Linked DNA regions of Sus scrofa. The protein of the gene in region 3 purifies or fractionates together with the protein of the main gene of each other region. This does not show direct contact. Links are inferred from orthologs where the notes say so. Each region holds a gene or a part of one and is shown on either strand. Other genes may lie near its edges. The genes, in order: CHERP, SF3B1 and U2SURP.

The links.
Region 1: the proteins of U2SURP (region 3) and CHERP purify together in Homo sapiens (affinity purification with mass spectrometry; 4 studies listed by BioGRID and IntAct, with this or other methods). This does not show direct contact. The link is inferred for Sus scrofa from reciprocal best matches to the Homo sapiens genes U2SURP and CHERP.
Region 2: the proteins of U2SURP (region 3) and SF3B1 purify together in Homo sapiens (affinity purification with mass spectrometry; 4 studies listed by BioGRID and IntAct, with this or other methods). This does not show direct contact. The link is inferred for Sus scrofa from reciprocal best matches to the Homo sapiens genes U2SURP and SF3B1.

Annotation. Positions count from the first base shown.
Region 1 is NC_010444.4:61,062,802-61,073,024, reverse strand, and holds the start of CHERP (calcium homeostasis endoplasmic reticulum protein), read right to left. Parts: upstream 10,066-10,223; 5' UTR 9,946-10,065; coding exon 9,921-9,945; intron 9,611-9,920; coding exon 9,437-9,610; intron 5,628-9,436; coding exon 5,443-5,627; intron 4,290-5,442; coding exon 4,152-4,289; intron 3,931-4,151; coding exon 3,779-3,930; intron 2,230-3,778; coding exon 2,085-2,229; intron 1,985-2,084; coding exon 1,895-1,984; intron 1-1,894. UniProt on the Homo sapiens protein: Involved in calcium homeostasis, growth and proliferation.
Region 2 is NC_010457.5:101,274,514-101,284,736, forward strand, and holds the end of SF3B1 (splicing factor 3B subunit 1), read right to left. Parts: coding exon 10,205-10,223; intron 9,697-10,204; coding exon 9,514-9,696; intron 9,421-9,513; coding exon 9,309-9,420; exon of another isoform or gene 8,255-9,308; intron 7,860-8,254; coding exon 7,739-7,859; intron 7,263-7,738; coding exon 7,131-7,262; intron 6,003-7,130; coding exon 5,730-6,002; intron 3,314-5,729; coding exon 3,097-3,313; intron 2,823-3,096; coding exon 2,664-2,822; 3' UTR 455-2,663; downstream 1-454. UniProt on the Homo sapiens protein: Component of the 17S U2 SnRNP complex of the spliceosome, a large ribonucleoprotein complex that removes introns from transcribed pre-mRNAs.
Region 3 is NC_010455.5:83,729,143-83,739,365, reverse strand, and holds part of U2SURP (U2 snRNP-associated SURP motif-containing protein), read right to left. Parts: intron 7,388-10,223; coding exon 7,283-7,387; intron 6,247-7,282; coding exon 6,180-6,246; intron 6,102-6,179; coding exon 5,938-6,101; intron 4,610-5,937; coding exon 4,447-4,609; intron 4,049-4,446; coding exon 3,969-4,048; intron 3,287-3,968; coding exon 3,199-3,286; intron 2,009-3,198; coding exon 1,886-2,008; intron 479-1,885; coding exon 322-478; intron 1-321.

The DNA.
Region 1 (10,223 bases), on a different chromosome or scaffold from region 3:
GAGCACCAGGGACCAAAGTCCAGGAGCACCCAGAGGTCAGGGTGCTACCAATGGCAGCAAGGCTCAGGGGCCCAGTGCAGGTAGGGGATTGTCACATAAAATAGTCAATTAGGGATTGACAACCGCAGAACACCTCAGTCTAGTCAGACTTGGTGACATTCAGTGCAGGGCAGTTTAGAATTCCCTCACAAGGATGGCTGTGCCCTGGACTGCCACACAGACATTAAAATCCCACCACTGACAAACATCCTAGGACATGTCTACAGGCTGTACTTCTTACACCTTGTATGGCTTTGGGCACGTCATAACTTCCCTGGAGCCTCAATTTCCTCATCTGTAAAATGGGACAATAATGGGACCTAAATCTAAGGATCAGAGAAAAATTCAGTGAAAAGGACTAGGGCGGCTGCTACCACCAACTCAAGAGGAGAAATGCAGTGAATGTCACTGTGGTATGAGCCTGTCTTTTATTCAGCAATTTTAAAAAGTGGGTAAAATTTAGTGCAAGTCTGAAATGCACTTCCCTTGTTTGCTTTTTTTTTTTTTTTTTTTTTTTGTCTTTTTGCCATTTCTTGGGCCGCTCCTGTGGCATATGGAGGTTCCCAGGCTAGGGATCTCATCGGAGCTGTAGCCACCGGCCTTCGCCAGAGCCACAGCAACATGGGTTCCGAGCCACATCTGCAACCTACAGCACAGCTCACGGCAACGCTGGATCCTTAACCCACTGAGCAAGGCCAGGGATCGAACCCGCAACTTCATGGTTCCTAGTTGGATTCGTTAACCACTGAGCCACGACGGGAACTCCCCTTGTTTGCTTTTCTGAGCATGAAAGCTTCTCCCCTGTGGGGGAAGGTGCAGGTCAGAAACATGACAGAGGACACAATCAACACAGAGCTTCTGACGGTCAATCAGACCTTTACAAGATGACAACATCCTCTGGCCTGAGAAAATGGGGTGTGAGCTGTGCCTTTTATCCTAGCAGCTGTAGATGGGGTAGCAATGCCAGGGCCAAAGCAGAGGTGACCAAGGAGAGCCAGCCCTCCTTTCCTGCCCTGCGACCCTGTCCTCTGAGCAGGTGCCCCCTCAGAAGCAGATGTGTGCACAGGGGTCACAGGTGACACGATGACTGTGCACAGGGGTCACAGGTGCAGATGTGTGCACAGGGGTCACAGGTGACACGATGACTATGGCAGCCCAGATTACACTGGGGTTTCCTCACACTCCCATCATGCATGGAGGACCAGAGCAAACAGGCCAAAGACACTACAAAGAGGAGTACCTAAACCAGACAACCTGGTCATTAAGTCTCGTCACAAGAAAAAAGTCTGGTGGGCTCACCTAGGAAGGGCTCACTGGCTCTAAATTGGGTGGGTTGGGGGCGTCCCCGGAAGCCGCTCCTCAGACCCACCTCCCACTACCAACCCAGGGGCACACCTGGAAGCCCAGTTGGGAAAAAGCTACCAGAATTTTTCTTTTTTTTGGGGGGGGGGTCTTTTTCGTCTTTAGGGCTGTGCCCACGGCATATAGAGGTTCCCAGGCTAGGGGTCCAATCGGATCTATAGCTGCCGGCCTACACCACAGCCACAGCAACGATGGATCCAAGCCACATCTGCAACCTATACCACAGCTCATGGCAACGCAGGATCCTTAAGCCACTGAGCAAGGTCAGGGATTGAACCCATGTCCTCATGGATGCTAGCTGGGTCCGCTAACCACTGAGCCACAGACAGAAACTCCTAGAATTCTGAGGTCACCACGCCACTGGCGGCTCCCAGCCTGGGTGGGGAAACCAGGTCCCATGACTTCTGGGAAGGTGCTGGGGTGGCAGTGGCCACACACTCCAGGGGCACCCACCCTGGCCCCAGGGAGCCATGCCAATGGTGGTGGCACTCACCTGGTACTGGCCGAGCCCCAGGGCTGGGCTCTGTAACTGTTGGATGATGGAGTCGTCAAAGTAGCCATTCTTCTCCCAGAGCTGCAGTAGCTGGATGTGGGGGAGGAGGGAGAAGCCGCGTCAGGGGGAAAACAAGTGCCCTGAGAAGCCCTCGCCCACCTCCCCTGCCCCTTCCGGCTGACCCATGTACCCGAGCGATCTTCTGCTGCTTGTCCTCCTCCACAGCCAAGAAGCTGGTACAGTAGATGGGCACCACGACCTTCTGCAGGGCGGCCAGCAGCTCCCTGGCCTGCTTGCGCTGGCTGTGAGGGAGAGACCTTCCGCGCGTCAGGGCCCTGGGGCGGGACCCGGCCACGTGCCCGTTACCATCGCGGCTCCAGCCACAGCACCCTCTGCCTTTTCGGGAAATGGGCCCCCAACCCAGCCGGGACAAGGGCTGAGCCCCCCACAAGACCTGTGCTGGCGCCTGGGCCCAAGTGACAGATCCATGGCAATGGGAGGAGGGAAAGAACACAGCCTGGGGACCTTCACAGCAAAATCTGTCACCCTGGTCCCCTCATCAGTAAAATAACCCTTCTGTCTCAAGGGGGCTTGAGGATAGACAGGTAGAGGCTGTCCACAAAGACCAAGCCACGGCTGTTGTGGGCTCAGGGCCCTGTCCACCTAGCCTCGCTCAGCACTGTCACCCCCTCCACACAGGAAACCTAAGACCCTGCTTTCCAGGAGGCAAAGGGAATATGTGAGCTGCCAGGTGCCTAGGAGCCTGAGGCCTGGCCTCTGGGGGGGCTCTGTGCATAAATGGGTGTGGAGGCCCCTGTGACTGTGCACTGAAGTGGCAGAGTCTGGACAGCACATCCCATCCCAGGGGAGGACATGGGAAGGAGGGTGGACAGCTGGAACCTCTCCCCTCGCAGAGCTCACCGGAGAGCAGCAAGTGCCTGGGGCTGGGAAGCGGGGGGAGGGGAGGGAGGACAGTCGGGCCAGGAGGACAGGGCAAGTGGCACTGGGCTTCCAGACAGACTGAGGCTTAGGAAGAGTATGGCTGGAGAAGTGCCACAAACAGGGCCGCCTCCGCAGAGCTGCCCAGTCAGCGGAGCGGCTGGTGAACAGGAGGGCAGACAAGGTTCCAGACAGCTGCTTATTTCCCAATGGCAGAGAAGGGAAGGCGACGCAGGGAGAGCTGAGTGAGAAAATGGAACCACCCGCGTGGCAAAGGAAGCGGGGAGGGGTGACATCGGCTGCATGTGGGCAGAAGACAGGGTAAGACCTGGGTCTGATTCTGTTGCCCTCATGGGAACCCTCCCTTCGGCCAGCCAAGTTCAAAGTCAAATGTGGCAGCCAGTCTTCACAGCGACACACTAGCCTTGCTAGCACCGCATGCTTCTGCCTCTCTCTGGCCCAGGCACCTGGTTTCTTAAATTAACTTTTGTCATTAGGTGCCAAAGAGACCATGCGGAAGTAGGACCTTCCTGTCTTGGGAGAGCTAGGGAGGTGGGGGCCCTTCTCGGTGGAGTGGAACAGAGGTCTAGCCAAGGGGACCCTACGGGAAGATTCCTAAAGCAGAATCAAGTGACTGGGCGGGTGTGTAGGTCAGGGAAAGGGAGCTGGCAGCTGACAGACACTGAAAAACACCAGAAGCTGCCCTGAGGAGAACAAGGAGCGAGAGGTCAGTGGCCCCAGGGGGGGATGAGGGGTCTGGGTAGGGGCCAAGCTGTGGGGGATGAGTGTCCTCCTGATGGAGAATTTGTGGCTGAGACTGACCCTCCCCCAGGGACTTTGGAAGAGTGATCCCCAGTTCCAGGATAGGCCAGACTACTGACTGCAGAGCAGTGGCCAAGAGAAGGAGAGGGAGCAGGAGGGAGGTGGAGCTGGCGGGGCCCTCACCAGTGATGCAGGACATCATTGATCAAGTAGATGAGGTGCAGCCGCAGCTCAAAGTGTGCTCCGTCAGCCGTGATGCGGTTCCGGAGGTGGCCCGCCATCAGCTCGCAGTGGGGCGGGGACTTGGCGTTGCTGAACATCCAGTTCTTCCCGGCCTGCAAAGCCGGGGCAGTGGGTAAGAGGGGCCAGGCCTCCCTGGGCTGAAAATGTGCGCAAACCCTGTCACCTCTGCCCACCTTCTGTCTCTTTCTTGGTTGGAGGAAGCCCAGGGAAGTGCTCCAGAGGGAAAAGTGGGGAAAGGAGACAGAATGCCTTTAGAGTAGCCCTGGCCCCAGAAGGGAGTAGCAAGTTCTGGGAACGCCTCCCCTGTTCTCACCGAGATGGCGTCTTTAGTGCAGGTGTCAATGATGGGCTGCAGCAGGTTGTCAAACTCATTCATGTCCAGCTGGGTCTCCTCCAGGAGCTTCTGCATCTGCTGCTCCACTGCATGGGCCACAGCCGCTGTTACCTGCTCCTGGGAGGCCAGGTGGGACCGAGACTGCGTTAGGAGAGGCCTCGGCCCTGGGCCCTTCCAGGCTGGCACATCAGTGTTCTGCCCCCAGCCCAAGTAGGTCTAACCTATCCCTCATGCCGGAAGCCCAAGACATGCATCTGTGAGTCCTGCCACAGGAGGCAGAACAGGCAAAGGATAAAGTCAGACAAGATACAGGGGGAGATGGTCTCTCTGGGGTGACAGAAAGATTAAGGCCCAGAGGAACAAGGAACCTCTGAACATTGATTCACCAAAAAAAGAAAGAAACATGAGCAACAGGAGTGAACACAGTATAGAGGGAACATATAAATGGTTACCAGTCCAGTAAAAGAGCAACCTCACTAACAATCAGGGAACTGGAAATTAAAAGATGCCACCGGGCTTTTGCCCATTAGGTTGGCAAAATGAGACATGGCTAAGATCCAGTGCTGCTGGGGGACAAGCGGTCAGCCCAGGGCTGGCCGAGGCTGGACTGCCCAGTCTGTGATGAGCCCTGTGCGGAAACTGAGGTTGAGTGTTCTGGAATATACATGTATATATATGTGTTTTTTAAAGTTATACAACAGTAACTCTCTATCTTGACTTCTTATTTTTTATTTTTTATTCTTTTTTTTTTTCATTTTTTATTCACTTCATTTTTCTATCAATTCATCCTATTCTCTTTGGCCAAAGTATCAGATTGTGATGGACTAGGACAAAAAAGACCTTCCCTACAATAGCTTGGGGCAATCTAACTAGCAGGGGCTGGTGCCAATGGCACCAGACGCCACCTGGCATTCTGTCACACAATTTCTAACTTGCGGCCCCATTTGTTGGCATCCACTTAGCACAATGCGTGTGCGTGTTTTAGAGCTCGTGCAATGATCTCACTGGGATAAGAAGCAACCTCAGTGTCCAGCATCAGGGGTCGAGCTAAACACAGCATGGGTGCTAGCAGCACTGGAGGGATAACAACTGTCATGAACCAAGCCCTGGGCAACAGGAGTCCCCTTCCTCAGCAGTGCCATCTATCATTAGCGCCAAGGTACCAATGCAAAAACTGAGGCACAGAGGGTGAGCTCCGGGAACCCGCCTCAGGAAGAGAGAGGAAGGGGGGCAGGCTCTGGACTGGTGGGGGGAAGGACTGGGCCCATACCTGTCTGAGGGCCAGCAGGTGCTGCTCCTGCTGCTGCAGGTTCCATTGGCTCTGCTGGATAAGCTCGTCCATGGACGGGGTGCCCTGCGTTGGTGGGATGGGTGCAGCAGGGGCCAGCGGGGGCTGTGGCAGGGGTGGCAGGGCGGCAGCTGGCTCTAGCTCTGGGGCCTGCTGCTTGCAGATGACTGGCAGGAGGGGAGGAGAGGTGGACTCTGTGAGGAGGTGGCCGGGGTCCAGATGTCCCCTTGGCTGCCTCTGGGGCAGCTCTAAGCCACAATGGCTCCCCATCCTGTACTCACCACCCAATAAAGAGGACCCCTGAAATGCACCGTGGCCACGCCTGCCCCCAGTCTCCCAGTGCTTAGCCTGAGACCGCTTCTATCTGACCTACCCCCTTCCTGCCCGTCTTCTTCTTGGAGACCTCACCACTCTCTAGCCAACACTGTTTGGCTTTGCCCACTGTCCTTTGGGCCAGAGGAAGCCTGAGCCTATCCCTCACCACCCTCTCCACACCTTGGCTAGGCCTAAACCAATGCTGAACAGAGACCAAGGCACTGCTGGAGAAACAGCCTCTCCAAGGGGTCTCTCAACCTCCAGCCTCCTCAGCAGCAGCAAACTCCAAGGCCTGAGGCCCCCAGGCTACTCTTCCCTTTCAAGACATCAAAGCCACTGGACCTCTGGATGACTGACTGTGGCACCCCAGACACATGCTGTGGCCTCTCCACACCCCACCCCTAGCCTTCCTTCCACTGACTCTATTCAGAGAAGGAGGCCCCTCTGCCTTAAAAGATCAATCCAGATGGAGGCGGCATTGGATGCTCCATCCTGCTGGCAGGATCCCGGATGGGGTGGGTTCCTGCCTTGCATTCATCAGAAGAGATGGGAAGGGTCTCTGGACAAGAAGACCCCCTCTCAGCATTTGGGCCTTGTCCAGTCTGAGTGTGACCATGCACTGCTGGAGCCCTTCTGAGTCCCACCCTAAGGGGGCCCCGACTTTTGACAAAGCCAAAGAAGGGACAGCGGGTGGAAGGTATCACCCAGGGCTCATCACAGGGGGCCCTACTGCTGCTCAGGTGTGAGGCAGGGGGGATGATCTCCTAACTTGTGCCCTAGATCTCACCCACTCTGCCCTCCTAGGAATCTGTTCCCTAGTTCTCCTTTCATTTTCTCTCTCTACTGACTCCTCCCCAGCAGTATTTAAACACACCCGTGTCTCCTATCCATAAAAACTCCCTTTTCACAGGAGTTCCCACTGTGGTGCAGTGAGTTAAGAATCCGACTGCAGCAGCTCTGGTTGTGGCAGAGGCACAGGTTCAATCCTGTGGGTTAAGGATCTAGCCTTGCCACAGCTGTGGCGTAGGTCACAGCTGCAGCTCAAATCCAATCGCTGGCCTGGAAACTTCTATTTGCCACAGGTGAGGCCATAAAAAACAAAACAAACACCCCAAAATTCCCATCACCCCACCCACCTCTCTTAACAATTCTCCGTCTCCCCTTGATCTCAACCCATGGAGGACTGGCTCTGTCTGCCCACCCCACCCCCATAGCCAAAGCCAAAGTTCTGGGGGTCATCCTCACTCAGCCCCACGGCCTCATCTCAGCTCCTTGTCTCACGTGGCTGGTATAGCTGTCTCCTTGGCCCCTCCTTCCTCTGTCTGACCCTTATGCCCAGTTTGTGAACTAAGTCCTCTTTTCCAAGTAAGCCCCCAGGGAAACATGATATACTCCTGGGGCTGCAGTTACAGTCTGCACCCTACTACCCCATAAACTATCACTGTCATCCTGGGTTCCTCAAGCTTTGGGTCTCATTACAGACCAAACAGCCCACTGCTCTCTATAGGCATCACTTTCCCCTCACCCTGTGCCCTACCCCTTCCAAAGTCCCCCTCCTGACCTGTGGCTGGCACAGCTACGTCCATATACTCAAGCCAGAAGCCAAGAAAGTCTAGACACCTCTCTTCCTTGCAGCTCATACTAAACTGTAGTCAAGGTACTCCCCTAGATCACATGCCAACCTGTCCATGTCTCTGCCATCACCACCATAACTCTGCTGTCACCTGTATCACCCTGGGAACTGGTTTCCTGTGCTGTGTCCACTCCTGTCCCCCCCACTCACAGCTGTAGTACCGTTGCTCAAGTGTGGTCCAAAAGGCACCCCAGGTGATACCGAGACTATAAACAAGCACAGAAATGCCAAGAGAGCGTTTTGGCACTTTTAAAGCAATTTGATATTTCATGGTTCATGTTTCTACTGTGCAAAACTGTACTTTTCACAGCAAATTGTTAAAAACAAAAACCAGTCCGTTACCACAGTCTGTGGGGCAACATGCTAGAGCAGTCAAGGGTCTCAATCTTCTCAGACTACCAGGGTGAAGGGCGGGCTACACAGTGGCTAACCCTGCTCCAGAACATAGTCTTGAAACCCTTCAAGAGCTCCCCAAAAGCCTCCAGAATTCCTGAATCCTTGGCAAACCAGCCCTACCTGCTCTGCACCCTCCCTTCTGGCCACCCCAAGAATCCCTCCTTCTCTGGGCTCCAGGCACCCTGAGCTCTTGTCCCCTCTCTCCCCAACCCCTCCTCAGGCGTGTTCCTCAGCCTGAACACACTTGTCTCGTCAGTTCCCATCAGCTAAATGACTTGAACTTTAATGGCAACAGTTACCTACATAAAACACTTTCTGAGCCCCATTCCCTTCCAGAAGCATCCCAACCCCCATTATAGCACCACGTCCCAAGAAGGTCCTGATTTCTGACCTTCCAGGATGGGAATAGGCTCCCCTTGCAGGGAAAGCATCTCTCACCTCACAGGAACCGGAGCCAAAACACTGTCCTCCCCTGCCCAATTATGCCACCTGCTTCAATATCCAACTGGCCCTTCCCTTTAACCCCAACTGTCCCCAGGCCCACATTCTCTACTCGACCTGCCAACTTAATTCAGATTTTACCACCAAACTGGTCCTAGACTCCACTCAATGCTCCCTCCAATCTGTCCTCCATACAAGTCACCCAAAACCCAACATTTTCAGGCAACAGACCTCCTCCACCCTCATCTCAAACATACACAGGCACCAGAAGAACACCAGACTAAAGAAGAAAACCCAAGCTTTTCCCTGGCATTTACCACTCCAGATCAAACCCGACCCTGTCGACACACATCAAAACTCCAGCCATGCTGGGCTGCTCACAACACACTGTGTTTGCAAACGTGATGACTGAGGTTTCTTTCCGCTCTCAAAACACACTGTGCTTGTTCAAGCCATTGAACCTTTGCTGTGTCCTATGAACTCTTTATTGAACACCTACTACGTGCTACCTATTAGGCACAACAATGCCAAACAAGGCCCGGTTGGCCGTGGGGAACTTGTAGTTCAGGGAGCATCCACCTTTCAATGTCCATCTACTTGGCAATCTAGAACACAACATATCTGGAAGCTAAGGATTCACTACTGAACAGGGCAGATGTGGGTTCAGGGATCTTTACTACCTGGTGATTATCTGTTATTCAGAGACCAACTGTGTTAACCAACCCCATCTTAAGCTCTTTTAGAAGAGGGTTGGAATTTTGATACCAAGAACTAATACCCACGAAACAACTCATTTTTGATCTAGGCTACAACCATCTTAAAATGCACAAAAACCTCGCTGGACAGTATTTGCCCCAAGGGTCTCACCCAATCTGGCTTCTACTACTTCCTCCCTGGAAACCGCTGAAGTAGTCACTACCTTCCTGACCTCAGTCATCACGTTTGCAAAACAAGAGTAAACCCTGATCTGGAGCCCAGCAAAAGGATCGATAACCCCGTTCTCCATTACACTGGGACCCAGCTGCCGCACGGGTGCAGAGCCCCGGGAACAGCGAATGGGACCGTGAAGACCGAGCTAATCCATATTCCCAGAAGAACAAGCGATTTAAAAAAAGGCGGTCTGTGGCAGAGCCCGAAATGGAATCAGAAAGGAATCGCTGGAGAGGACGGCCGGAGAGCAAGAGAACTCACGCTGCTGCTGCTCCAGCGCCAACTTGCACTTATAGTAACTGTAGAACTCTCCTCCGAACAGAAACGAAAATTTTGGGTTGTCCTTCTGCTTCTCCATCGTCATCTTTTCAAATTCGGGCCCATTCCGAGCCACGAACTGGGCCAGCTTGTCGATGACATTTCGGAGCTCCTGGTCTGGAGGACGGAGAAAAGGCCACGCGGGGCGTCAGCGAGAACCGCCCAAATTCGGGGGCCCTGTCGTCCCAGCCCGCGTCTGCTGGGCCGGGGGTCCCTAGGGGTGGGTCCGGGAAAGGCCGCCTTTGTACGGGTCCCGATAGGGGCCAGAAGCGCGCCGAGAATGCGGGAACCCGCGGGAGAGGCCGCAGGCGGACCCCGGAGGCCGAGCCCCGCCCCCTCCTAGGCCCGGGGACCCCGGGAGGCGAGGTAGGCCAACAGGGGATTCCGGGGAGAGAGAAACAGCCTTCGAGCCCAGGCTGGGCCTCACCATCAGGCGGCAGCGGCATCTCCATGGCTCCAGCCGCGGGGAACGTCCTCCGGCGCCTCACGATCGCCCACCAGGGCCGTCTGCGGAAGCCGGCCGGAAGTGGCGCGAGGGAGCCTTTTACGACTGGCTTCGCGCGCTGCTTCCGCCCGCCACTTACGGCCGTCGCCAGGAAACCCCGGAAGTGAGGAAACGAGGCAGGCGGGAAGAAGCCGCGAGGGGCCGAACGCACGGAGGGGCGAGCACCACGCACGCGCAGGGGCTTTCCCGCGCATGTGCGGAATGGACTTCTGTAGCGCGACGCGA
Region 2 (10,223 bases), on a different chromosome or scaffold from region 3:
CAAGCCAGGGAGATTTTGCCCTCAAGGTACATGAGACAGTATCTGGAAGCATTTCTGGTTATCATAGCTGGGTGGGGGTGCTACTGGCACCTACTGGGTAGCCAGGGATGCTGCCCAACATCCTACAATGTCAGGATTGTGACCCAGAGTGACATGCGTCTGGCCCAAAATGTCAATAATGACAAGGTTGAAAAATCCTGTGATTTGCTACAGTTTCTGCTTCACCTTGTGGGATTTAAGCAGCACTAAACACCAAAGAACCAAACAACTGAACCTATGTAGCTACAATTACTTTTTCCAGTTTCTTTTAAAGAAAAATTTCTTTGGTTTTTCAACATTAAGTTCCCTTATTTGGAAAACCCAAAGAGCTCAGTTAATTAAAATGGCACAACCACAACAAAGTGTAGTGTGATAACAATACGAAGTCAACTAAGATTAAAAACTGGTCTAAGACTTTAGATATAATATAAGTTTTATTCATCTGGTGGTACTTGATGCTCACAGGGCACCGTACAACAAATTTAAAAAATACAATATGAAAAAAATTGAACAGCCAAAGAGATCAATTCCATTAGAGGGCCCACAGAAAAACAAACAAAAGCCCACAGAAAAACCCACCCACTGTCCACTTAAGAACATTAATTTCCTCCTGCTTAAGTTTGGCTTTAAGAAACACCAAAGGAAAGTGCAAAAGAAAAACTCTTTGATAGTTAAAACTTCACATAGCGTCTTTCACACAAGTATATCACAAAATGCTTTCCTTATTCAACAAGCATATAAACAATCTAAACATCTGTAAGCCTCTATTTGGTCCCAACTTTTAAGATTGTAGGCTTTAATACTTGCCTCACTGCTGTTCTCAAATTTTTCCACTTATGGTACAGCCTTTGCTTCACAGTGCCACTACAAAGCATGGATGTTTAACATAGAGTAAGGGCCCAAGCAAATTGAAAGTATGCAAGTACTTGACATGAAAGTGTAACTAACCCAAGACTTGTTTAAAAATCAAACTTTGGCTCTGAAATCTAATTGTATTCTTCAATTTTCATGATTAGCATAATAACTGAGGGTTAATTTGACATCAAGTATAATAGAGAACAAACAACAAGATTTAAAGTTGTAAGGTGGCTATTATTAGAAAAACTTCTAAAAATAGAAAGATGACTTTGGAAATTTAGTACACACTGACTTGTCACAAAGTTTCATCACACCATAAACAACAGAGTTACAAAAAATTTTGCCTGGAGAGTTAGCTAATGCTCAGTATCAATTTTGTACAAGTCAGCCAATTATAAAGCTGTTTCTCAAGTAAGCTTCCCAAACAGGGAGCCCTGAGAATTAATAGTTGAAGGATAAACCTCCTATTCTTAGTATACTGGTTTTACCTACTTGTGGCAGTCATCCTATGCTTAGGCTGCTGCAGGTCTATTCCCATTAAAGTTCACAGAAGTACTATTACATAAGAAGACAAAATAAAACAGCTAAAGAAGTAAAATGACTAAAACATTTTTGGCCAGAAAATTAGGAAAAACTGAAAACATACTTTACTACACAAAAAGCTACAGCCATAATGCTTGGTTCTTCCAGAATTAAATGGCATTTCAGTTTATGCTTCATACTTACAGATCAATTTATTATCTGATTAATAAATGTAAAACTAAGCAAACCCAGCCACTGCCATTGTTTACCATTGGCACATAAGTAATCTAAAACTAGATGTCTCCCTTTTCCGTTATACTGCATTTCTTAAGGTCAAGGGGCAGGTCAAAAGCACATTTGCATCCCTTACAACTAAGCACAATGGCTGGTATACAGAAGATGCTCATCGGTGTGTGCTGGATAAACTGCTGAGTAGTGGCTTATGACAACAGAAAAGAGCCCAAAGATTATTTTATTCTAAGTAGCATTACTTAGTAGCCTCACTCCCAATAGGTAAAAAGCAGTTTTGAAGATACCAAGGTCATATTCTAAACACAGTTCACTTCCCTAAACATGTTCATAAAGCATTTTGAGAAAACAGGAGATGAAAGGCGCTATGTAAGTGCAAAATAATTTCAAGACAGTTCAGCAAAGGTGCTATATTTTCTATGATGATGTAAGGGTTGTGCTAGTTTGAGGTGAACACCCCCAAAGCTACTCTTCTTAATGTCATTATCAACAGAACAATGGAATTTTGACAAAGATGCCATCACTTTATATAGTTTGTATTCTGCTAACTACGTTCTATAAACCAGGTGACAGAAAATGATAATTAAGCCACTTATTCTACACAAACCAATACTTGATCAAAGTTCCGCATTTTACAAGTCATGTTTAAAAAACACACACAAGTTATTAGCATTTTGTACACAAATGTTTATTTCTCAATTAAACATTCCCTTTAAACATAAGGAATGAATTCTAAATCTTCATAAAGATGAATTACAAATGAAATCCCTCCAGTATAATGTGTGTATCACTGTGTTCTTGGTCACTACTGGCGTTTACTGTTTACATCAAAAACAAAGACAGGTTATTTAAAAAATCATGCTACTGGATTTCTAGCTCTTCTTCTATGACCAGTTCTACGCTGATCTGCAATGTTTAAAAGTTTACATCACCAAATCGAAGCAAGTTTAAGTTGTGAAACAGCTGTGCATTAAACACAAAATTTAACAATAAAGTTATAAGATATAGTCAAGTTCATAACGAATATAAGTATTCTTATCATCATTGTAGATTCTTGGGTAATGTGCTATGAGAGCATCCTGTGAACCAATGTAGATGGAGTTGTAAATTTTCCAGTACACATCTCTGACTTTCCGGGCTGGGTGAAACAAACCCTGGAATAATTAAAAACGTTGCATTATTTCAAGAAATACATAACTTTAGCATAACTAACAAACTAACCATATATATGGCTGTAAACATTTCCCTTTAGAGGGGGAAAAACCTAACAACTGCACAAAATTGCAGTAGGAAAGGACAATATCTAATCCTCCTTCCCCAGATAACCGTTTTCCCAAAGGGCACATCCCGTTGATAATTAGGAACAGTAAATTAATTCAACTAAATTATTTTTTTCAACAAGCACACTTTAAAAAATCTGTAACCTACCTGTAAACAATACTGCAGCATTCTACATGGTCCAATAGCAACTCTCAGACCCTCCAGGGCCCCCATAACTGCCTGAATTACATGGGGAGAGGTCTCAAACACATTGGGCCATACATAGTTCAACAAGTGATTCAGCGAATCTTCACAACCAAATCCATAAACCCCAAGTGACATGTGTTGCACCACCGCACTAGCCGTCTGTCTATGTACAAGGTCCCTGAAATGGAAGGGGAAAAATGCTCTGTGTTAAGATACAGTCTTAGTTTTACAGAAAATACCTGCCTGTCCATTGAAACTAAATCACAAATTCACTGCATAGAATGGATTGAGAGTCATCCTCACACGGTATGTATGTGATGTAGAATGCTTTTATAGAGACTAATTGAGACTTTTGCTGTAATAACTCAAACCTCACTATGGCTCAAAAACAAACCACATTTATTTTGCTTTGGAAGTAATGAGCTAAGAAAGCTCGGTGCAATGTACATTTTTGTATGCTACTAAAAGGGTTATATGACTGTACATACAAGTGATTAACAGTAATATCTCATTTTAAACTGTAACTTTATTTATTTATTTATTTATTTAGTATTTTAGGGCCGCCCCTGTGGCATATGGAGGTTCCCAGGCTAGGGGTCAAATCAGAGCTACAGCTGCTGGCCTACACCACAGCCACAGCAACATGGGATCTGAGCCATGTCTGTGACCTACACTAATGCTCACTCAATGCCAGATCCTTTACCCACTGAGAGGCCAGGGATTGAACCTGCATCCTCATGGATAGTAGTCAGATTTGTTTCTGTTGAGCCACAATGGGAACTCCAAAACATCATAAATTTAAAATCTTCTAAAGTATTTCAAGTATTTCAATATCGGCATACAATAGATAACTAAATTGAGATTAAGCCCCTTTCCTTATAAAAAAAATTTTAAGTTTCATTCTCAACTTGGGGAAAGGAATAGAAGGACCAGTAATTCTCTCTCTCTTTTTTTTTTTTTTTTTTTGTCTTTTTGCTATTTCTTGGGCCGCTCCCACGGCATATGGAGGTTCCCAGGCTAGGGGTCCAGTCGGAGCTGTAGCCACCGGCCTACGCCAGAGCCACAACAATGCGGGATCCGAGCCTCCGCGTCTGCAATCTACACGATCTACACCACAGCTCACGGCAACGCCGGATCGTTAACCCACTGAGCAAGGGCAGGGACTGAACCCGCAACCTCATGGTTCCTAGTCGGATTCATTAACCACTGCGCCACGACGGGAACTCCCAAAACATAAATTTTTTATTTCTGCCACACCTATATATAGCATGTAAAGTTCTGGGGCCAGGGATTGCACCCTCGACATAGCAATGAAAATACCAGATCCTTATTAACCCACTGTGCCACTCAGGGAACTCCACAGAACATAATTTTTAACTGCAGATCACATACATCAGTGGTCACACTATGAAGCTCAGGCACATCTCACTGAATTTGGGAAAGTATGATTTACTCCCACTTTACTGGACCTCAGATGGCCAAGCTTTTATAGAATGCGATTCTTATTCTGTCTCAGTATCTTCCATATATGCCCTGGGATAACCTGTTGAGTCCTGTTAGTCTCCCTTTTGGAAGATCATTAATAAATAACTTTTTTTAGTAAGTAACTTTAATATGCACACAAAAGTAAATGAATGGGCTCTTCCTTATCTTTCCTGAAAAATAAAGAGCCAGTGAAACAGTCCGTTCCCTTACTACTTTGGACCTTTAACTTTCCTTTACATGCTCTTTTAAAAAAAATTTTTTTTAATTGTTATTTCCCCAGTTTACAAGTTTTTAACTACTTTTGTGTTTAAAGCTATTACGTCAGTTTATTTATTTACTTTGGTCTTTTTAGGGCCACAGCCACAGCACTTGCAGGTTCCCAGGCTAGGGGTCAAATCAGAAATGTAGCCACTGGCCTTACACCAGAGGCACAGCAACACGATGCGAGCCACATCTGTGACCTACACCACAGCTCAGAGCAATGCTGGATCCTTAACCCACTGAGTAAAGCCAGGGATTGAACCCACAACCTCACGGTTCCTAGTCAGATTCGATTCTGCTGCACCAAGACGGAAACTCCTATTGTGTCTGTTTAGATAGTAAAGGTTTCAGGACTCTCTCAATCATCTCAAGGCGAACTTATCGGTGGTCACCATCTGTTTAATTGGGGGCTTGCAATGGGAATAGTGTGGGTCTGGGAGGCTACACTCAGTAGTTCAAAATCCTAACAGAAATCTCAGCTTCACCTGCCACAACAAAAAGCTAAAAAGACTGGTTCTGACACACTGATAAGCTCACACTCATCAATTCCTCTATATTTGACTTAATTTTTAAAACAAAAACTGAACAGTTACTGCTTTTCAAAATGTATTTAGTCTAATAGATATGAAAAGGGGAAGGGCACTTGGAAAAGAAAATTTGGGGAACAACTATAGCATGTATTTTATTTGAAGATAACAGTCATGTTTACAGTTTCATAAAAATCCAGGCCAGTAAGCCCTACTTCGGCTGCATCACAACAAACAGGTCATGTAATAATTATTTCAGTAAGTTCTAAAATGTAAGAATTTTAACTATTTTCTTGAATTTAGTTCAAGTCACTTACTTACCTATCCATTAAAGCATCTTCAAGTAATGGTGTTACAGCATAAATGTAGTCCTTTCCCATTTCACCAATATATTCAAACAAGAAGGAAAGTGATTTTAACACTCCATTTTGAACATTCAGTTCAGGAACTCTGTATTCATTCATTAAGGCAGGTAGTACTGTGAAGGGTGAACATGTTTCAGCAACAATAGCAATTGCTACAGTGGTACAAACTCTGTTCTGCCTTTCCTGAACTTTGAGGTTGTTCAAAAGTGTAGCCAATACATCATGAGGGCTGGAAAAAAATAAATGTGTCAACAAATTGTTAAATTACAAGTCAAAACTTTTCAGAGGGAAGAAAAAAATGCAACTGAATGAAACTTTATGAACTTGGTAATTTTATGATAAAATACAATACTTTTCACATCACTGGCATTATTGTTTCTACTGAAGAACTTCATTTAAATTAAAATGTTCATTTTAATGAAAAAATTCAAATATACTCATTTTCAAATGTAACTTACAGTCGTTAGGAAACTTCTTAAAATACAAAGAAACTTCATTAAATGCTTAAATTGAGAAGTCTTTGTGTGGTCAGAACATGGCCACTAGAGGTGGGCAACCTTACAACAGTATCCTCAACAGCAGTCTTCCGTGCCACAGCAAAAATCTGGTTTACTTTTATCTTCCCTCCCACGCACCTTTATTATCTTTATTCTCCTTTATACATTTATTTTACCACAAACTTAGAGGGACATAGGAACTAAAAAAGTTGGCACAAAAGCTATTCATTGCAAATCTGTTTACAAGCTAGGTGAAATAAACATTACTGCTATCAAAAGGAGGGTAAGGAGACTCTAATTAATCCGACTTTTGTTTTATTGCCTGAAAGTATTTTCTTTGTTATTAAGCCACAGGTACATAAGTATCTCATTTTCTACAACAAATGTTTCTTCTCCTTTGCTTCTGGTGAGTGGTTGTATTTATATTATCTAATAAAATAGCTATAATTCAGTTGTCTGTAGATTTATTTTAGAAAAATATTTTTAAAACACATAAAGCATTAACATGAGAAGTGAATTTTGGTAATTGTTTTACTAGGAACTGGCCTTAACATTTTAAGCAATATTCTAAAAGGACCAACAAAATTTGAAATTATTCAGAAATGGTAGTTTCCCTCTCTGAAAACAGTAAGTGTGATTAAATGAAATTTTAAATGCTTCCATCTATTTTAATTCCACTTAAAATTTAAAGAAATTTTCAAAAATTGAAGGTCAGTGTTGTTAAAGGCCATTCTTACTGCATTACTCAAACCATTCCTTAAAAGAGATCGCTTAAAAAAAAAAATTTCTTCAGAAGTAGAAGTATCTTTTCAACACAATGAAAGTAAAAATAAAAAAACATAGAAGTAAATAATACTCACCCAATGGCCTTTGCAATATAGCCAAATGTGTTGACTGTGGCTCTACGAATAGCTTTTTTGTGAGCTTTTAAGAGCTCTAAAAGCTCAAAGCAAATCCTCATCCATTCTCTTGCAGACACATATTCAGCTCCCCTGATTTTAAAAAAAGTAAAATTTTTTTGTGATGAGAAGTTTTAAAAGGTAAATATGATTACCAATACATTTTAAGCATTAAATAAAAATGTTATTAATGTTCAGAAAGAGTGCTTTAATTTTTTTTCTTTTTCTAGGGCTGCACCCATGGCATATGGAGGTTCCCAGGCTAGAGGTCTCATCGGAGCTACAGCTGCCGGCCTACACCACAGCTCATGGCAAGGCCAGATCCTTAACCCACTGAGCAAGGCCAGGGATCAAACCCGCAACCTCATGGTTCCTAGTTGGATTCGTTAACCACTGAGCCACGACAGGAAATCCAGGATGATTTAGATTTAAAAATATACCTCCATTTCCTTATGACAATCCAAACTGAAGCCTATTTACTTACATTAGCAACATTAAACAAATTTGAAAGTGAATAAATGTGAAAGCCAATAATACCATTTATAGAAATGTTTAGGTAATCTGCTTACCTATCAGCAATACGTCCAACAAGATCAATACAATTCTCTTGCACTTTTTCATGCCTATTCTTTAAGATGGGAGTGAGTCTAGGCAGCAGATCTTTAATTGGCGGTGTCATCTTATGCATACCTAATTAATAGAAGTCAACACACTATCAATTAACATTAGAACTGCAACTTCTGTTCACTTTACTTTTTATTTAGCAATATAATATACATGACTAGGCATAAATAAACTTACAGCTGCCTATGGAAAAGAAAATGCCCCAGATTCTGACCAAATGCAGGATTTTTTTTTAACTTTTTATTAACAACTTCTGATTATGCAGAAATGAAAGAAATTAGTGAAGTGATTTAAAGAAATGATGGATACTCAACAACAAAAAAGTTTTATTTGGTTCTGAAATGTATTTGTACACTGACATTTAAATATGGGGACATCTTAAGTTCCGGCCATACAAAACAATATAAGCCAGAGGTAGACATATAAATTAAAGCAAAATTTTCCAGAAAGGGCCCCCTTACCCTTTAACTGCAAAACAAACAGATCTCCAGTCTCCCTGCAATGCAGGGCATACTTGGATGGTATTTACACCTATGAAGAGAGAAAAAAGGAGGCAGCTGGCAGGGGCTCTTGCTCTAACTAGAACTGCTTGCTCTGATTCTCTCTCCATTGCTTTTCCCATGTTTTCTTACAAACAATATGGTTTACAATTCCCTACAAATCAGAGTCCCTCAAGTAGCCAAGTAACTGATTTTTGGCAAGTATCTCCAAGTATAGAGCACCGGGCTGAATTAGGGATTATATGTAAATGCAATGGTTCAACGATCTCCTGTATTGCATCAAAACCCCTTGCTAAAATGAGAAAAAACAGTGGCTATCACAGCCAGCTATATTGACCTCCTGATAGGTTATTTCTGCCCCTTTAAACTCTGCAGTTATTTTTGCAATAGTTATGTTCAATAAAATGAAGGATAAAACACGAGACATTTGCTCCTGTTCTACACACCAAAGAGCATTTGTAATATACCTGTGTTTTAACTTGGGTTAAAAAGCTGAATAGACAATTTTAAAGAAATGGATATAAATAAAAGTGAGGTTACTTGATCAATTCATTTTTCTCCCTGGTTATTGTTCCTTGAACTTGATAGCAACCAGGAAAACCTACCATAACCATTTACTAATTTAAGGTGGAATAAATATATAATATTTAGTCCTAAAATTAAAATTTCAGGGTTCTCTCCACCTTCTACCTCTCCCCCCATATATTTCAGGTGAGGTATTATTATTAGGGTCATCACAAAACTTCAAAATTTTTTGAGTTGAGACTATTCCCTCCTCTCTTGAAGGTCCTAAATTTGCCCTCTTTTCTCTTTTAAAGTAAAATATAAATGGGTTTTGGGAAATAAGACTCTAGCGACATCCCACGTTAACTGTAATTTTCATTAGTTTAAAAAAAAAAAAAAAAAATCAGACATTATTCATTACTCAACTCCTAAACAGGATTCTGTAATTTTACCTTCAAAAAACAAAGCAAATTAAAAATAAAAAATCTTACATGACCAGCAAATTCCATACCTATTACATTTACAATGGCCTTCAGTGCTCCAAGAATGCTGCCCAATACTTCAGGGTACTCTTCACCCAAATACTCATACAAAACAACACCCAAGTGACCCATCAATTTTTCCTGTAATAGTAAAAAAAAAAAAAAAAGTGTTAAATGTTACTGTGTACATTACTCCTTTCAGTGAAGAAATAAAAATCTGATACAAAAGTTTACCTCTTGACAAGTCTTCATGACAACAGCCGTTCGAGATATCAAGTCAGCTGCCTGTTGCCTAACCTTTGCTGATTTGTTATTTAAACGCCACAAAACTGTACCACAGATCTGAGGCAAATAAGGTTTGACTCGTTTGCCAAGAGCATTGACCACTGTGCCAAAGCCGTTCAACATTACTGAGTCCTAAACAGGAAAAAAAAAGAAAAGCCAAGTTAAATTTAAAAACCACATTCAATGTGAATAAGCATTTAGTTTGTGACTGAACAGTTGAAACATACTAATATTCACTTTTCAAAATTCTAATCTAAAAACTTAAGGTAGAAGATATTCCTTTGTAGCCAACTAAAAGATAACATGAGCATTTCAAAAAATTATTTCCAAAAAAATTTTTTTTTAATTTTATGGCCACATATGGAAGTTCCCCGGCCAGGGGTTGAATCTGAGCCACTGCTGTGACCTCTGCCACAGCTGGGGCAATGCCAGATCCTTTAACTCTGCGCCAAGCTGGGATTGAACCTGCACATCCACAGGGACCCAAGCCACTAGAGCTGGATTCTTAACACACTGTGCCACAGTGTGAACGCCAAAATTATTTCAAATTTAATTACTTATAAAGTAATAATACTTGCTTGAAAATGTTTTACAAATATGAAAGTCAGTGGCAACTTGCTGTAATAATTAGTGTCATTACCTCTGTAGTCTGTTCTTGG
Region 3 (10,223 bases):
AATCCAAGCATCTGGGATTACACATACAATTGAAGATTTTGCCTACAGTTTTCTGATAATTAAGACAAGAGAAACTCACTAATATTATAACAGGCTGACTGTCCCAAAAAAGAAACGTGACCAGAAAGAAAACTTTTTCTTGGCACAATCAAATGTATTACTGGGTATCTGAATTTTGAAAAGTCCGAAATAAAAAACAAAAATTTAATGACTGACACCTTATTCAGAAGGTATAAACTTTTTCCATATCAGCATGTGTGGAAATTAGTTTTGGACTCAAACTTATTAGCTAGATTAAATAAGCTTGAAATCTGAACTTACAAGGCACTCCATCAAGATCATCATCAAGACTTTTTATAGGGACTCCATCAAGATCATCAATGGGAGTAGCATCAATAGGAATTCCATCCACATCTTCTAGAGGTGCACCATCAAGCTCTTCCTCAATGGGGGCACCATCAAGGTCATCTGGTACATCCTACGAATTCACACACTACTGTAATAACTACTGTAATATTTTCTTTCTGGCTTAATAAAAGTCATATTGCTAAATGATTAATTTGCAATCCAATCCAGTATAAACCAACCAGCTGGATATTCACATTCCCAGGTAAAATGTGAGGACATAATAAGAATATATTTTTAATTGTCCAGTCTGAAAAAGCAGCAGTCATTTGTGCAATTGTGTTTTTTTTGGGGGGAGGCTCTTTTTAGGGCCACACTCACAGCATATGGAAGTTCCCAGGCTAGGGGTCTAATCTGAGCCATAGCCGCAGGCCTACGCCACAGCCACAGCAACGCCAGATCCAAGCTGCATCTATAATGCTGTACCTTGGAGCAATGCCAACTCCTTAATCCACTGAATGAGGCCAGGGATTGAACCAACATCCTCATGGATACTAGTCAGGTTCTTAACCCACTGAGCCACAATGGAAACTCCCCATTTGTGCAATATTTACCAAGTACTTAATATTTACCAAGTACTTAATGATGCCAAGTACCATGTGAGGCACTAAGGATACAATGATAAGCAAAAATCAGGCTTTGGTCCTTAGTCCTTCCTGTCACAGAGATTAGTAGAATTGGGAGATGGAGGAGTGTGGGCAGAAGTGTAGAGAAGGAGCAGGCAATCAGACAATCACAACAATATACAATGACTACTACAACAAAGAGATGTATCACATTATTAGAATGTGTAATAAGTTGGTTCCACCTAAAAAGTCTGAGATGGTTCAATGAATTTATGCCCAAACTAAACTCTGAAGGGTTTCAGGTAAAGAGGAGGTGTTCCAGAAAGAGGAAAGAATGGGTACAAAGGTCTATGCTAAGAGGAAACATAGTTAAAAAACTGATACAAACACCATGTGGTCAGAGCAGGGAAGCCACTAAGAAGTAACTTGTAGAGTGAAAGTGACAAGAGATAGCTGGGTTAGGATGGTAGAAATGAAGATAAAGGCTTTAAGAACTATTGAGGAGGTAAAAAAAAAAAAAAAAAAACAGAATGGTGATAAACAGAATCTGCTATCACTGTGGTGCATTTTCTTTACATATTTACTTACATAGCTATCCTTAGTTTAACAAAATGAAACCATGCTACATATATTGCTCTATTACTCATTTTTCTACTAATATGCAATAAATCTTTCCATGTCATCAAATTAAAAAAAAAGTCATCAAGTTTCACATAAGGACACAAAACAGAGAAGCCTTGTTACAAGTCATTTCAGCTCCTGGGATCCAGCAATTCCAGGAACAAATCCACTATTTAATGGTAAATAGGTATTTTTCACAAGGAAATGTTATTCATATCTGTAATACATCACACCTCCACAGCATCCCCAGAAATAAATTTTAAGGTAATCAGACAAATACACTGAGTGCCTACCTCTGTTTCCTTTTCTTCAATAATATTTACAAGTCCTAAGAAAATATTTTGTAGTTTGATCAAAAATGGTTCTGGATAAATTGCCCAATCTTCCCACGCTCTAAAGCAGGTCATTACCCGTTGCTAATAGGAAAAAGACAATGAATTATTTTTTAGGGCAACACATATCAAACTTAGCTCATGATCAAGTACCATCACAAGTTGCTGTATTTTCCTTTAAACCAATATTCTTTTTAAAATTCAGAGGACAAATATTTACAATATCTTTTTTAAAAATCAGTATTACTTCCCAATTTAAAGGGGACAGAAACTAAGAACAAATAAAAAACAAACAGTAACTGTTTGCTCTTGGCCATCAAAGATCAAGGTCCCATACCACTGGTGGTACACATGAGGTCACATTCTAGGAAATACTAGCTAAGAAACTTAAGAAAGTTGGATATCAAGGTAGCCAAGTTTTGATCTGAATTCCTTTAAGGTCTGATGAAGTACTTCCTGATTCTAGCTTTATTCTCTATCCCATCCTTCAACTTTTCTATAAGCTGTTTTATGATCAAAATTTAAGGTCAAAAATTTTTTAATGAAGTTGCTTGTTTGATCCCCCTAAATGGTGGGATCTTTGGGCATGTTCTCAAGCTTAAAATTTCCTTAATCAATCTTCTTTTCAAGAAAGTATACTTATTTTTTTCAACTACAAGTATTTTCTTTTGGCTTAACATTGGTCTACAGATTAAGAGCAGCTTTATTAAAAAATTAATAACTGAATATACTTTCTAAACATGAATAACTAAAATGTATATTCCTAATTGGGCCAAATTAGATATACCACTACAAAACAGGTAAACTTCTGAATGTTTTCTGTGAAGAGAAGACTTATAACTTAAATAAAATTCTTAAAACTAAAACAGACACCAAATAATCTAACTAGATATATTTTAAAATTTCAGATTTTTTTGATACTGAAAGTAAAATGGTAGTAAATTTTTTTTTTTTTTTTTTTTTAATAGCTGCACCTGCGGCACATGGAGGTTCCTGGGCCAGGAGTTGAATCACCACAGCTTTCGACAACACTGGATCCTTAACCCACTGAGGCCAGAGATTGAACCCACATCTTCACAAAGACAACATAGGGTCCTTAACCTGCTGAGCCACAATGGGATCTCCAAAACGGCAGTAAATTTTACAACAATTTTTCAAACATGTAAGTTATGTCTTACACTTGGCTTAATACTCTTCTAGCCCTCCAATGTGCTTCCTTGCCTCCATGTCTCATTTAAAACAGCAGGACAAAAATAATCAAACAATAAACGTACCTTGAAGTTTTCAGACTGTAAATGGCCTTGAATTGTACGATAGGTAGCATTGAGGTCTGAAAATATCTGACATAACTTTGTTTCAAAACTGAAATTCAAATAATATATCTTTTACAATAGAATTTGCTTTAAAATCCCTATCCACTTCAGCATGCTAGCCAACGAAAACCACTTCTAGACTTTTTAAATTTCATAAATAATCAAGTAATTCAAGAACTAGGTGTTTAAACTTTAAAACTATAACTTTAACACCTATTATTCTGAAATTTTCTTCTACAAAATCTCCTAGAGTTTTAAGAACTAGTTCCCTTGATCAAAAACAAACTTCACAGCCAGGATAGTAGTCCACCTAGTCCACAAAATTAAGCAGAATTAAGATTAGGACCAATATATCTAAATTTCTCTTCAGAGTCAGTTTCTAAAGAAAGGCTTCCCTAACACCAAAAAGGAACTCAGGGGAACTGAGGAAGAGTTATTTATATTTGCCATTACTTCTACTGTTTCAGCTTATTTATTATACAAGTGACTAAATATGCAATAGAAATAAAGTCATATTTTGACTCTTCCTATTTGTTCTATTATCAAGTTTATCAAGAGATGAATACAGTTTAGTTCAACACAATCCAATTTTTTTGAAAATTCTACAACTATGTAGAAATTCAAATTTCTTATTATTGAGGGTATTAATTATCAAAAACTATCCTCTTTTTTGAGCTCCTTACCCTTAAATATTTTATTTTAGGAATATCTGCTTACACCACTATACTTACAATTTTCTATAATAGGAAGCATTGGCAACTTTGGCTGAAGAGTTGTATAACACATCAGAAACCAAATATAATCTGGCAATCTAGAAAGCCAAAAGGTAACACAAAACAGATTAAAAATAAAAATCAACAGAAAATATATCTTTTAAAAAAAATCCCTTATTCAAATTTTTTGAATCAAGATCTTAAGGCTGATGTTTACCTATGATTTAAAAATCATAACTAATTAGACAAGCTATAAGAAATTCGGTATCACTACACCATGACTTTGATAGGGATAAAACCTGTCATTCATTTATATTTCAACCTGTTGGTAACTTGAGTATCATCCAACCTCCCCAAGCAGAAGGAAAATAAAACTGCATGGGAAAGATTTCTTCAGTTAAGTCTTTCATTTAAAACAGAAACCAATTTCAATCCCAAAAGAAATCAACTATTATCTTTTACTTAGAAGTTCCACAAAGAGAAATCATTCCCATACCTTTTTGGGAAGGGGTGTCTTTAAGATGGACAATGACTCAGTAATGCAATCTACTATTTCTTCAGCAGCTTCAGCATTATTAAGACAGAAAACCATTGCATCTCCAATATCATTTTTCCTTGGCGTTAACCCCCGCAGAATTTCTTCTAATTTGTCCCTCTGTCTGAATACAAATTTTTTAACTTATAAATATTTATAGATACAAACTTTAAACGCCATTATAGTTCCTACTGACAAACTATTGTCTTTAAAACACAGTCAGATAAAATTCTGAAGACTAAATTGTGTTAAGTCTGATTTGTGTTACATATTCCAAATGTTACAATTTTTTTGGAAAACTTATATGGGGAAGGATATTTTTTCAGGAACTAATAAATTATTTCAGTGACTTTCACAGTTTACAAATTAAGCAAATTTAAAATTATAGGTATTTTTTCAAGAGTCTTTGAGAGTGTCCCAGTCCTACTATCCTATTACACTGGAGAGAAAAGAAAAAAAAAAAAAAAACCTTCATATTTTTCACTCTCCTTTCAAGGAAGTCTGTTAAAGTATATCCTATGCATAGGATGAGGACAAGCTACAAATCAAGGATTGACAAACTTTTCCTGTAAAGAAAGGCCCAGAGAGAAATATTTTAGGCTATGAAGGCCATAGAGTCTCTGTCAGTTCCTCAACTTTGCTGCTGTAACACAAAAGCAACCATACATGTAAAGGAGTGGGTATAGTTGTGTCCAAGAAAAACTTTATTTATGAAAACAAGAGGCAGCCAGATTTACTCTATGGACTGAGTAAGCAGATCCCTGGGCAAAAGTAATGATGAACATACAGCTTCAGAAGCAAATACACTCTCAGACAGTATAATTATCTATTAGCAAATATTCTCACAAACAATGCATCAATGCAACTAGTATTAAGATTTATGGACTATACAGTGAAGTATATAATCCTGTAAACTAAAAATTACTTTAGCCTTTTTTCCCATCAGGTACGCAGAACTTCCTCTGAACGTTAAATCTGCTTCTGCTTCTTAAACCAGGCTAACTGCATTATAACAATGCTGACTGAGCACTTAATAATATACACTTCCAGAGTGGCCACATATTACACTCCATGATGAAGCTTTGCAGTCACCCATCTGACTCCACTAAGCCATATGATAATTTTTTCTCTTTATGTTACAGAGAGGCAAGAATTCTAAAGGCCCTGAGAATTTCTATAAGAATATAAAGAATTCCACTGCTAAAGGACCATCACTTAAGAGATCACCATTAATTTTTACCAGCAGAAAGAAGTCAAGTTCAATAGGACACATACTTATACTTATCAAAATGTGTAAAATTACAATGTGTTATGTCAAGTGATGTTACTCTTTTAAACATTCACAAATTTTAGAAACCATTTTAGAGTTAACATTATCTTAGTAAGACCATTATTTAAAATGACCATTGAAACAACTTTTCTGAATATATAACAGAAAGGAAAAAGCCTTACTCTTCCTTAAGTGCTCCCTTTTTACTAGGCTCCTCCACAAAAGCTTCTGTTTCCTGCTCTTCTGACATCCCATGCAGGTATGGATTTAATGGTGGTGGCCTCCAAAACGATCCATTTTTGAACATACGAAAATCTTCCGTCCGCCACTTAGTTGGAGAATCTCCCTAATAAGCATCCACAATGTTATTACAAAGTTCTAATACCTCAGAGTCAAAATTAACAAAGTAATTGTTTATACTTACCTGCAGAATAGAATAAAGCTTCCACCTATAGTAAACATGGGCTGGTGTCTGGTTTTCAAATAAGAATCTAAAAACAAAAAATTAAACATCATATTCTTTAATGGAGAACTGCCTTCAAGTAAATATAAACAAATGAGAAATATCTGCTTATTTAGTTCTAAATAAAATCAAAGGCAAATATCCCTTAAGAGAAATCCTCATCCCAACCCCAGACCACCTTTGTAACTGACATTAATACTCAGAAGATATACACACACCCTGCTGAGTCTTACAGTTTTATCAAACACTTATGTGTCAGATACTGAGTCTGGCAATGGAGAGGTTTTCTCAAGATAAAATCTCAAAAGCAGTGGTTTTCAAATGATTTAAAATTGTAAATAAATGTTAGATATCACTGCTATTCAGAAGATGAGCTCTTTCCTATAAACCTCATTTATCTTACCATAATCTGCTTATGAAAGCAGATTCCACTGAAAAATAAAATGAAGAGTATTTTCCTCCTAGAGAATGCTAAAAACAATGCTACTTAATTAACTAAATCATTGAAACCATTGGAAAACTGATCCAAGCACAAATTCTAGCCTAATTACTAAAAGTGCCTTCTCACTCCATTACAAAAACCTCATTGTTTTTCAAATTTTATTCTTGGAATATTCTTAATTTCAAGAAACAAGTTTAAAGCATTTTTTAAAATGCACACCTGAGGATAAACAAAATGTGGTATGTACATGTGATGGAATATTATTCAGCCTTAAAAAGTAAGGAAATTCTGACACATGCTATACCAAGGATAAACCTTGAAGACATTACGCTAAGTAAAATAAGCCAGTCTCAAAGTACAAATAGGGTATGATTCCACTTAGATGAGGTACCTAGAGTAATCAAATTCAAAGAGAGAGAAAAGTAGAATGGTGTTTGCCAGAGGCTGAGGGACAAAGGGAATGGGGAGTTATTGTTTAAGGGGTCAAGTTTCAGTTATGGAAGATGAGAAAAGTTGTGACAGTTGACAGCAACATAAATGTACTTAATGCCACGGAATGCTACATGTAAAAATGGTAAACTGCATGTTATATGTAAATCTCACAATTTTAAAAAATGCATACCTGAACATAGGATTGTTGATCTCTCTGTTCATAATCATAGCTTCGAACATTGGCCCTTCACGTACAACAAACTCTATCATTCGATGTATCAGGGCGAGCAAATTCCTACAACAACAACACAGTTAAAGAAAATGGATTCAGACCTACCACTATATAAAACTATACTTGAACTAAGTTACTAAAATTGTGCAGAAAAAGATTATTCTGCTGACTAATACAGAATTTTAAACCAAGAAAGTAGCCTGGAGCATATGTTAACACCTTGTGCATTAAGAGGGAGTGGGGCAACAGGAATAAGGGAGTGGGAGGGGGAGGAAGGTAAGGGAGGGTAGGAAACCACAACACAGCTTCATAGTAATAAAGATTTCAATTTCTAAATGCCACTTAATTTTATTTTCCAAATGCAAAACATTAAATTATGTGTCACAACTAACTGGAAAGCTGCAAATATATAAAATCCATAACTTTGAACTTATATGTTATCATAGCCATCTAAAAACTTACACACTAATCTCAGTTTAAAGAACATTCCTACACCAAGCACTTTTGTGGTGGTATTGAAAAGTTATATACATGACTATAATTTTATAAAAATGCAAAACTATTTAACAAGTATAAGGCCTGATTTAATAAAAGAAAATCCATCCAACTCCTGTGCTTTTCTGGTACACATGTAGCAGATGGAGTTTTATTGAATCTGACCTTTAATGAGGCAACATCCCTTTGGACCACACTTCAAATTAGTTCACACAGTTCATGACAAGTACAATTCTGCCTGTGTGTTATGAATCAATAAAACAGTTATATTGTCAAAGCCTTAAATGAATGGAGTCCTCTTTCCAAAATATTCCAAAATAAGGGACATAGTAATACGTCCTTTCTATTTTTCTTAACAATTACTTTCCAATATTTATCCAGAAATAAACATATGTGTTTAACTTTTGTAATTTTATTGTTTGGGCTTATAGAAAGTCTATTTTTTAAATCTGAAGCCAACACCTTATTAGACTCCAAGCACCAATTTTAGACATTGATTACAGTGTCAAGCAAAAGTGGCTCAGCTTATTACAGCTATTCCTGATTTCTCATTTCACTGGGTCCCCAGCATATAGAGTTGGCAAATAACAATCGGGAAAAGCAAAAGGATATTGGCTCTTGGTACAAGGCACACACTAAGTTACACCTTTAGCATTCCCAGATCAAATTAAGTTCGTATAACTGCTAAAATATAAATAAATATATAGTTATAGGATAAGACATTTTTTGGCTCTATAAAACCCTGCTTCAGAGTACATGAACAGTAAAATATCTCATGGTGATAATTATTTTCTCACAATTTTCAAACAAACCTACTTTTAAGTGGATACTTAAATCTCTACATAGTGAAAAAAATAAAATTTCTTTGACCTTCTAAAAGAGATCAAAAAAATTATATGAAAGTTTAATAAGTCTTTAACAAAGGGAAAACTACATATTTAAAATGAATTCAATTTCAAATTGTTAAAAACAAAAAACCAAAAGCATCACTTATTTTTAAATTTAAAAATTCTTTTTCTTTTGTAGAAGTATTAACTGCTCTGCAAATATGCAGTTCTTGATGTATAAATGAAAATGTATTCTTAACATCCATATGGTTAATTACATTGTTTTGAAGAAGGGAAATAATGCAAAGTTATGATTCAGTTCTGAACTCCCACTGGTAGGGAAATTTTATGTATCATAATATATAAAATCAATTACTAGGTGGATAAATGCTATACATCCAGAAACTTGTATGAATTAAGTCAAAAGCAACTTGACTTGCATATTAAAGATAGATGAAAAATGGTTTAGCAAGTTTAAAACAAAGGATTCATTGTAATGGTCAGTCAAGACTTTACAACAAAGTGTGTACTCAAAATTTTGTTTAGAAATAAGCTAAGCCACATGAAAAGCTAATACTGGATATATGCTTTTTGAGTGCTACAAAAATACTTTCCTATGAATGCTTTGTCAGTGGAAAAACCACTATAGTTTTAAACAGGCTTGTAACTGATAAATCTATTTTTAGAAAATTTAACGTTTAAAAGAAGTTTTATAATGTTTGATGACTATTTAAAATCAAAATCTGACAATTAGTTGTTGTAACTCAAATTCAAGATTACTAAAGGACTGTAATCACTCTCTTGTTTTCCTTAAGGATGTGTTTCTTATTTTTAAAAGGGTGACTTTTTTCAGAAAGAAGCAGTGTAGTACAAAAAGATGATATATTTTAAAGTGCATTATTTTATTTTAAAATGGTAATTATCTTATTCTGGGCAACAACAACAAAAAAAAAAAAAAAAAAATTGTCTCTCAGTTATAATAAAACCACATTTATTGGAGTCGATCGTACCAATGTCTGGTCAAAAACTGTATACTTTCCCAATCCATCCCATGATGTTTTCCTGGTCCCCCGCTGCCGCAGACAGTTCAGCTGGTGTTGCTCACCAAGGCCAATGTCAAAGAGAATTTGGTATTCTTTTGTGTTCATTTATTATTCAACCAGTGTTGTGTTCCTGTGTTTGGGAAAAGGCTTAGCTTGACTGAGCAAGAGCATACCTAGAGCATGAATTCTTCTGCTTTAACATTATGTTGAAAAATAAAAAAAGGAAGAAAAGAAAATAAAAGAATTCCAAACACCTTTGTTATCATGAGAAGTTTCTAATATGTTCAGTGTTCATGAAAATAATAGAAATGCCTTCTTAAAATCATTTAGGAAAAATTAAAACTATGCCTTCAGAAAGGAAAACTCAAACTAAGGTTGCATATTAGACAATTCAGAAACAAGAAAAAAAATAACAAATTGGATCAAATTGTAACATCTAAAATTTAAAACATTTAAAACACCTATTTTCCTACCACAACAGTCTAATATTAGACTAACAACCCCAGATTATATCTATTAAACACATTCTAACTA